2 linked regions of the Oryctolagus cuniculus genome follow. The protein of the gene in region 1 purifies or fractionates together with the protein of each later gene. This does not show direct contact. Links are inferred from orthologs where the notes say so. Each region holds a gene or a part of one and is shown in the gene's direction. Other genes may lie near its edges. The genes, in order: TSSK6 and FKBP5.

Region 1 (4,374 bases):
AAATAAAGGTCTTCCATCCGCTGGTTCACTCCCCAGATGGCCGCAATGGCCGGATCTGAGCTGCAATGGCTGGAGCTGGGCTGATCCGAAGCCAGGAGCTCCATCCGGGTCTCCCACACAGGTGCAGGGGCCCAGGGACTTGGGCCATCCTCCACTGCTTTCCCAGGCCACAGCAGAGAGCTGGATGGGAAGTGGAGCAGCCGGGACTCGAACTGGCGCCCAAACGGGATGCTGGCACATCAAAGCAAGCGGAGCAAGCGGCTTAACCCACTGCAAAACAACACAGGCCCCCTCAAATACATTTTAAAAATTAATTTAAAAATAAACAGGGCCAGTGCCGTGGCTCACTTGGCTAATCCTCCGCCTGCGGCGCCGGCATCCCACATGGGCGCAGCTCTCTGCTGTGGCCAGGGAGTGCAGTGGAGGATGGCCCAAGTGCTTGGGCCCTGCACCCCATGGGAGACCAGGAGAAGCGCCTGGCTCATGCCTTCGGATCGGCGCAGCTCCGGCGGCTGCGGCCATCTGTCTGTCTGTCTTTCGAATTCGGATTCCCGGTCGCCCTGCGCGCGGGTGGGTGGGGGAAGCCCCGCACAGGGCCATTTCACAGACTCCCTCTGGGCTCTGCGTTTCGGCCCCAGCCCAGGCCTGGGGGGTCGCGCGGGGAGCTGCCGCCCTCGCCCGGGTCTCCGCGACCCCCGCCTGCTACGCCCACCTCAGTGTCACCCGCGGCACAATGGGCCGACGCCCGCGGCCGTGGGCGAAGCAAGCCCGGAGCCGAGCAGCAGCCTGGGCCCCGCGCTAGGTGAACCTGCCCGGGAGGCGCCCCCGCCACCCCGGCCCACGGCGGCACTGACCCGACAGTCCCCGACGCTGCAGGTTCCGCTTGTAGTCGATGGGGCCGTAGCCCCCCGGCGGGGGCATGTCCTGCTTCACCTTCGACGCCGCCATGCTCGCTGGACGCCGCACTTCCGGTCGCCGGCGGAAGTGACGCCATCGGGCCGCGCCGCCATGACGAGTGTGGCGGAAGCGCCGCCGGTGGAGCTGCCAGACTTCGCGGGCGGGCTGGGGGGTGCGGGGGGCGCGGCCGGGGAAGCCTAATTTCAGCTTCCCGCCGACGGGGTGTGACGCAGACGACCCCTAGGGGCTGAGGCTCCTTGCCCGCTAGCCCCTCGCGATGCACCGGAGAATCAGACACCCCGAACCCCCGGGGGGCGTCGGGGCCCCGGGCTGCTGGACCCCCTCTCGGGGCCCAGGGCTCCACAGGCTGGGGGTACGCGAAGTCGGGGGCGGCTCGCTGCTCCGCTTCGGACGCACGGGGAGGCACCGGCAGTCCGGGGAGGGGCTGTGCCCCCCGGTGGTGGTGGGGGGCGGGCGTCCTCTCTGCCGAACCGGCCGGCCGTGCAGGGCGATTGTGAGTCACAAGGCCGCACGTGAGGGGCTGTGCGGGGCCAGGGGAGCCCCGCGGGGCGGGGGTGTGTGTGCGGTCCCCGCCCCGAGAGGCGGAGTGACGCCCGCGGTCACTTCACAAGGCTGAAATTGTTACCGGGGCGATGTAAGGCCCCCGCGGCGGCGGGGACGCGGGAGTGGGCACATGGGGGTGCGGGGGTGCGGGTGCCAAGCGCCATGGGTTAGGCCCGAGATTGGAGTCCGGCCGCCCCCCGCTGCTCCCCGCGCGCCCCGCGCGCCACCATGTCGGGCGACAAACTCCTGAGCGAACTCGGCTATAAGCTGGGCCGCACCATAGGAGAGGGCAGCTACTCCAAGGTGAAGGTGGCCACGTCCAAGAAGTACAAGGGCACGGTGGCCATCAAGGTGGTGGACCGCCGGCGAGCGCCGCCGGACTTCGTCAACAAGTTCCTGCCGCGCGAGCTGTCCATCCTGCGGGGCGTGCGGCACCCGCACATCGTGCACGTCTTCGAGTTCATCGAGGTGTGCAACGGGAAGCTGTACATCGTGATGGAGGCGGCCGCCACCGACCTGCTGCAGGCCGTGCAGCGCAACGGGCGCATCCCCGGCTCGCAGGCGCGCGACCTCTTCGCGCAGATCGCGGGCGCCGTGCGCTACCTGCACGACCACCACCTGGTGCACCGCGACCTCAAGTGCGAGAACGTGCTGCTGAGCCCGGACGAGCGCCGGGTCAAGCTCACGGACTTCGGCTTCGGCCGCCAGGCGCACGGCTACCCGGACCTCAGCACCACCTACTGCGGCTCGGCCGCCTACGCGTCCCCCGAGGTGCTGCTGGGCATCCCCTACGACCCCAAGAAGTACGACGTGTGGAGCCTGGGCGTGGTGCTCTACGTCATGGTCACGGGCTGCATGCCCTTCGACGACTCGGACATCGCCGGCCTGCCCCGGCGCCAGAAGCGCGGCGTGCTGTACCCCGACGGGCTCGAGCTGTCCGAGCGCTGCAAGGCCCTCATCGCCGAGCTGCTGCAGTTCAGCCCCTCGGCCAGGCCCTCGGCCGGCCAGGTGGCGCGCAACGGCTGGCTGCGGTCGGGGGACTCCGGCTAGGGCAGGGGGCCCGCCCTGCCCGCCTCCCGGGTCGCGGCCGGCACGGCGCACGCGCAAGGGACGCCGCCGCACTTCCGGGTTCCTGCCGCGCCGCCGCGCGCCACGGCGCACGCGCCCTGCCCCGGTCCCCCCCTCCCACGGCGGAGGCCGCAGCTGCCCCGCCTCCGAGGCTAGCTCCTCCCCCTCCTCCACCACGCCGAGAGCTGGAGAGCGCACGCGCGCCTTCGATTCCCCGCCCCCAGGCCCCGGGAGGGGCGGGGCGAGAACGAGATGGACGGCCTGCGCCTGCGCCTGCGCGGAACGAGCGACGGCTCCCCGGCCCGCGGCGTCCGGGAGGAGCTGCTGGGGGGGCGGCCGCGCGCCGACGGCGTCGCTCCCCAGGCGGCCGCGGATGCCCGGTTTCCCGTCGAGACCCGCAATAAACTTCGCTCTACCTCGCACCTGTTTCACGGAGCGCAGCGGGGAAAGGGGAGGCTGGCCCCGTTTGGAGAGAAACGCGTGTCCGGCTCCCGGCCGGGGGCCGGGGGCGAGCAAGCCCTGCTCGGCGAGGGCCCCCTGACCCCGAGGTCCCCCGGGGGGAGTAAGGGGCCGGCTCCTTGAACACCTGCTGTGTGACCAGGCCTGGACCCTGCCCTTGTCCGCGAGGCCAGTGGAAGGTCAAAGACGTGGAGGTCAAGTAGCTTCGAGCTGTAGCGATGCCAGGCGGGGGCGGGGGTCTACCCAGAGGGACCCCACAGGGTGGGTTCGCAGCCGCTGACTGCCCCTTTCCCTAAACCCACCTGTGTGCGGTCCCAACCGTGCCCAGCCCTGCTCACTCTGCAGCCCCGGGGACCGAGCGCCCCCCGCTCTCCCCTCTGCTAACGGCTGTGGCCCTGGTCCTGGCTGGACTTCCCTCACAGGGAGGGCGGGTGTTGGGAGGGGACGTGAAGGCTCCGAATTAAACCGCGTCCTCACCCCCCACCCTGCGGGCCTGGAGTCTGTCCGTCCCCACCTCGGGGCCTCTTCACCCATCTGTCCCCGCTCCACGCCCAGCTGTGTGGCTGGGGCCCTCTGCCCACCGGCGCTGGCTGATGGATGGGAGTGCAGAGCTCGGTAGCCAGGGGCCCGGGTCAGAAGGGACAAGGAGAAGCCGGTGAGCCCGGCAGGTGCAGCGGGACAGCCTTGGGGTTTAACTTCTGCCTTAGCCTGGGCTTCGAGAGCCCCAGAGGCCAAGCCCGGCACATCCTTAACACCGAGGACAAGCGGTCAGCAGGGACTGCGGGAGCCCACAGTGCAGCAGGTGCCTCCTGCAGCCCGGGGCTGGGGGCGGAGAGAGAGGGGGGGAGAGGAGCAGTCACACCGTGTCCCTCCCTTTATTGTCCTTTAGAGTCCGAAGCTCAGCATACAATGGACGCCAGCCACCCACGCGGCCTCTCTGGTGAGGGGAACGTTAATAGTGAAGATTCAGTCACAAAGAATGCGGGTGACAACCTTCCCCAGACAGCCCGCCCTGGTCTAACTTATTTCGCGGTGCGCGATGGTCCTGGGATGCCCCCTGGGGCCTGCCCCTGCTGGCCAGGTTCTGGGACGTTTTTTGGTTACGATGGGATTGGGGGGTGGGTGCTCCCAGGTTCCGGGGAGTACGGGATCTGGACCCCAGCAGCGCTCGCTCACCCACACCCCGCCGCGGGGCCTCTTTCTTGGGCTCAGAGAACGTCACCCCGCCCCGCAGAGGGGGAACCCAAGCCAGTAACAGGTGCAGGACGGCCAAGGCCGGAAATGAAGCAATGACCGGGCAGCTCCCCCAGCTCAGTTCGTTTACGTCACAGCGTGCCATCCCTGACCCGGCCGCTCCCTGGGACGCAGAGGCGGGGCCTTGCCCGT
Region 2 (3,804 bases), on another chromosome or scaffold:
GGTGACCTGGGAATTAGAACAGGCTGACTTTTAACTTCTAAAATGCATAGCCTCATTTCTACTGATGAAGAAAGAAGTCCAAGATGCCTATTAAATGAAAAAGCAATTCAAACTCGAAAATGTGAGATGCTGTTATTTGTGTTTTACATTTTTTTAACATGTGTAGTATATGCTTTGGCACTCATTTTTGTTTGTTTGTTTTAAGATTTATTTATTTATTTGAAAGGCAGAGTTACAGAGAGGCAGAGAGAGAGAGAGTCTTCTGTCCGCTGGTTTACTCCCTAGATGGCCGCAATGGCTGGAGCTATGCTGATCTGAAGTCAGAAGCCAGGAGTTTCCCCTGGGTCTCCCATGCTGGTGTAGGGGTCCAGGGAATTGTGCCATTTTCCACTGCTTTCCCAGGCCACAGCAGAGAGCTGGATTGGAAGTGGAGCAGCCGGGACTAGAACTGGCGCCCATATGGGATGCCGGCACTGCAGGCTGCAGCTTTACCTGCTGCCACAGCGCCGGTTCCATGCTTTGCATTTTTAAAGAAGTGACCGCACACACTAGGAAGATGAAAGAGAAGCATGACAGTGGCTTCCTACAAGGAGGGCGCAAATGACCTTCCACTTTTTGCTTTGCATCTTCCCTGTGTCTTTTAATAATAGACATGTAGAGGCATGCATTTACATAGATTTTTCACTCAAATAAATGGAGCTGATAGTTTTAAAAGTTATAGTATTTAACAAAGACTAAGCTGAAGTCTTGAGTAACAAATGCTTGCTCTACCCCTAGTAAAACACCTCCGACTGTCAGCTCTCTCTCAGCCCAAGGGAGCAAACAGCTCACTTCAAAATTGACTCCCTTGGGGGCCGGCACTGTGGCTTGGCAGGTGAGGCCGTCACTTGCAGTGCTGGAATCCCATGTGGGCACTGGTTTGAGTGCCGGCTGCTTCACTTCCGATCCAGCTCTCTGCTATGGTCTGGGAAAGGAGTAGAAGGTGATCCAAGTCCTTGGGCCCCTGCACCCATGTGGGAGACATGGAAGAAGCTCCAGGTTCCTGGCTTCAGATCAGCCCAGCTTTCTATTGTGGCCATTTGGGGAGTGAACCAATGAATGGGAAGATTTCTCTCTCTCTTTCTCTCTCTGTAACTCTGCTTTTCAAATATAACTAGGTAAATCTTAAAAAAAAAAAAAAAAAAAAAAAAAAAAGGACTTCCTCAGGGCTTTGGTGCTGATTTGACCCCACTTTGAATACCTAAGATTTTGGTTAACTTAGCCCCTCAAGTTTTAAAGGCCTCCCTTTTCTGTGGTTTTCTAGAGGATTAGAGACTGTGCAGTAGGATAAAGTGAATAATGCTGGACATGATAAAAGCTGTGAATATTGGCATTGTGATTACATAGCCAAAAACAGTTCTACAGTTAAGCAATAAATGTGACTTTTTTAGTTACCTGGAACTGGAAAAAATTAAATATTCTGAGTTCTATCACTGTGATTTGGTAAAAGGACAAAGGCATTTGTTTGAAGAAACATTTTTCTGATTCTAAATGTTAAGATTAAATTTGTTTCATGGACCCTTTTATACAATTTATACTTTCCTTTTATACAATGTATACTTCACAGAAAGGTCTTATTTTTGTCTACCAAACTAAATTACAGCTTCTTTAGAACAAACTCCAGTTTCTATACTATTTTTGTCCCATCTTTGCCTAGAAAACATGCATTTAGTATTAAGGCTGAAATGATAAATTAAACCACAATTGCAACACAGCCACATTTTGTGGATTATGTTACTGCTACTTTTGAAAAACTTGATCTTAATTTAGGAATTGATGCTACATTTATCCTACTCAGCAGAGAATCTTCTCTGATAGCCTTCCAAAAAAAATCGTAATTTATTTCTTTGTGTGTAGTTTCTGCTGAGTTTTGTCATCTTTTAGCTCATGTTTGTTAGCTGAGTACATAAAGAATTGGAAATTTTTCTGAACTCTTGTTTTATGAAAGTTAAATCTTTTAAAATATGGCTGATAGATTTTAATTGCATTTTCCTTTCTCAGGTCAAGTTATCAAGGCATGGGACATTGGGGTGGCCACCATGAAGAAAGGAGAGATCTGCCACTTGCTGTGCAAGCCAGAATATGCATATGGCTCTGCTGGCAGTCTCCCCAAAATTCCCTCCAATGCAACGCTCTTTTTTGAGGCAAGTATGTGTGTGAGGTTGCCTTGTCAGCATCTGCTGTGCTATAGGGCTCTCTTTGTAGCAACAGGCAGTGGAACAAGGAGTGAAGTTTGGAGAGGAGAATCAAATCCAACTTATTTATTTTGGAGCCCAGCTTCTTGAATTGTTTCCCACAAACTGAAGGGGTGTGTGCCAGTGCTTTCTTAGAAACGTATCTCTGGCACAGAAAGGTCATATCCAAATAAACAAAAGACATTTGACTTAGAAATAAAGGCTGTGGTTAGTGGTGTGAGTACAGCATGCTCAAAGGTGACCTGAAGATAGGGTGGAAATGCTGGAGACAAGTGTGGAAATATGCCTATCCTGAGTTGGTAGGTATTTTCATGCTATCAAGGTTTATAAATGTCACAGATCTTACCCCTTCAATAGAAGCAGTAGGTGGAGTTTTTATTCATCTTGTGTTGAATTGCACATATTTAGCAAAACCTAATTTAAAAAGCTACCCTAACTAGATAAAATACACCTTCAATCAGTTGTCAGCCAGACACATGGGATTTGTTGCTCAATTTTACTAAGGCAACTTCATAAATTGGGTGGGAAAGTGGTGGCCTCAAAGTCAAACAAAATAGTTCTGCGCCAGTCCTTGTAGTTCTGGCCTTTTGCCCACAAGGCAGTGTTCCTAGTATTTCCTGTCTGTCTCTGCACTGCAGCCTCTCAGGAGTAGTGCTAAACATTATCATTACATGAAGTTCCATCTACGCATTTGTAAAAAGAGCAGTGTCCTTTTCCTCCTACTTTTCCAATAACTCTAAGATGCAGGGATAAGTACATTTTTGTAAAAGCAGAGTTTTATTTTGTAAAGCAAAAGACTAAATGGACTTCGTTTGGTCTTTGCTCAACCAGATCCCTTTTTTTTTTCCTTTCTAGATTGAGCTCCTTGATTTCAAAGGAGAGGATTTATTTGAAGATGCAGGTATCATTCGCAGAATCAAACGAAAGGGAGAGGGATATTCAAACCCAAACGAAGGAGCAACAGTGGAAAGTAAGTATTGCTGTGAGAGAACTAAACCTTAAAAGTTAGGTTCCATATACATGGATGAAGCAGAACTTTTTTTAAAATTCAACATTCTGAAATAAACATATTGAATAGGGCTAGCATGGTGGCATAGCAGGTAAAGCTGCCACTTACAATACTGGCGTCTCATATGGGTGCTGGTTCCTGCCCTTGCTGCTCCACTTCTGATCCAGCTCCCTGCTAATGGCCTGGACCAAGTGCTTAAGCCCCTGCCACCCAAATAGGAGACCTAGATGAAACTCCTGCTTTGGCCTGGCCCAGCCCCAGCCATTGCATCCATTTGGGGAGTGAGCCAGAGAATGGAAGATATCTCTCTCTCTCTCTCTCCCTGCCCCTGTCTCTCTGTAACTCTGACTTTCAAATAAATAAATAAATCTAAAAAAAAAAAAAAAAAAGATGACAGCATCTACTATTATTTAAAAAATCCCATCCATTGAAGAATTTTTAATCTATGGACTATTTGATGTGTCAAAAAGTTTATTAATTGCTTCACATATTTATTTCATGAAGTAACCTTATGAGATAAGATGTATTATCCCTGGGTGAGAATAGTGAGTTCAGAGAGGT

The links.
Region 2: the proteins of TSSK6 (region 1) and FKBP5 purify together in Homo sapiens (affinity purification with mass spectrometry; 4 studies listed by BioGRID and IntAct, with this or other methods). This does not show direct contact. The link is inferred for Oryctolagus cuniculus from reciprocal best matches to the Homo sapiens genes TSSK6 and FKBP5.

The regions. Positions count from the first base shown.
Region 1 is NC_091447.1:66,227,227-66,231,600, reverse strand, and holds the start of TSSK6 (testis-specific serine/threonine-protein kinase 6), read left to right. Parts: upstream 1-1,523; 5' UTR 1,524-1,689; coding exon 1,690-2,511; 3' UTR 2,512-4,374. Other genes in the region: YJEFN3 (yjeF N-terminal domain-containing protein 3), read right to left, coding at 855-994. UniProt on the Homo sapiens protein: Serine/threonine-protein kinase component of the sperm flagellar doublet microtubules. May act as a regulator of sperm motility by mediating phosphorylation of sperm doublet microtubule proteins.
Region 2 is NC_091436.1:133,852,709-133,856,512, forward strand, and holds part of FKBP5 (peptidyl-prolyl cis-trans isomerase FKBP5), read left to right. Parts: exon of another isoform or gene 1-606; intron 607-2,040; coding exon 2,041-2,183; intron 2,184-3,089; coding exon 3,090-3,204; intron 3,205-3,804. UniProt on the Homo sapiens protein: Immunophilin protein with PPIase and co-chaperone activities. Component of unligated steroid receptors heterocomplexes through interaction with heat-shock protein 90 (HSP90).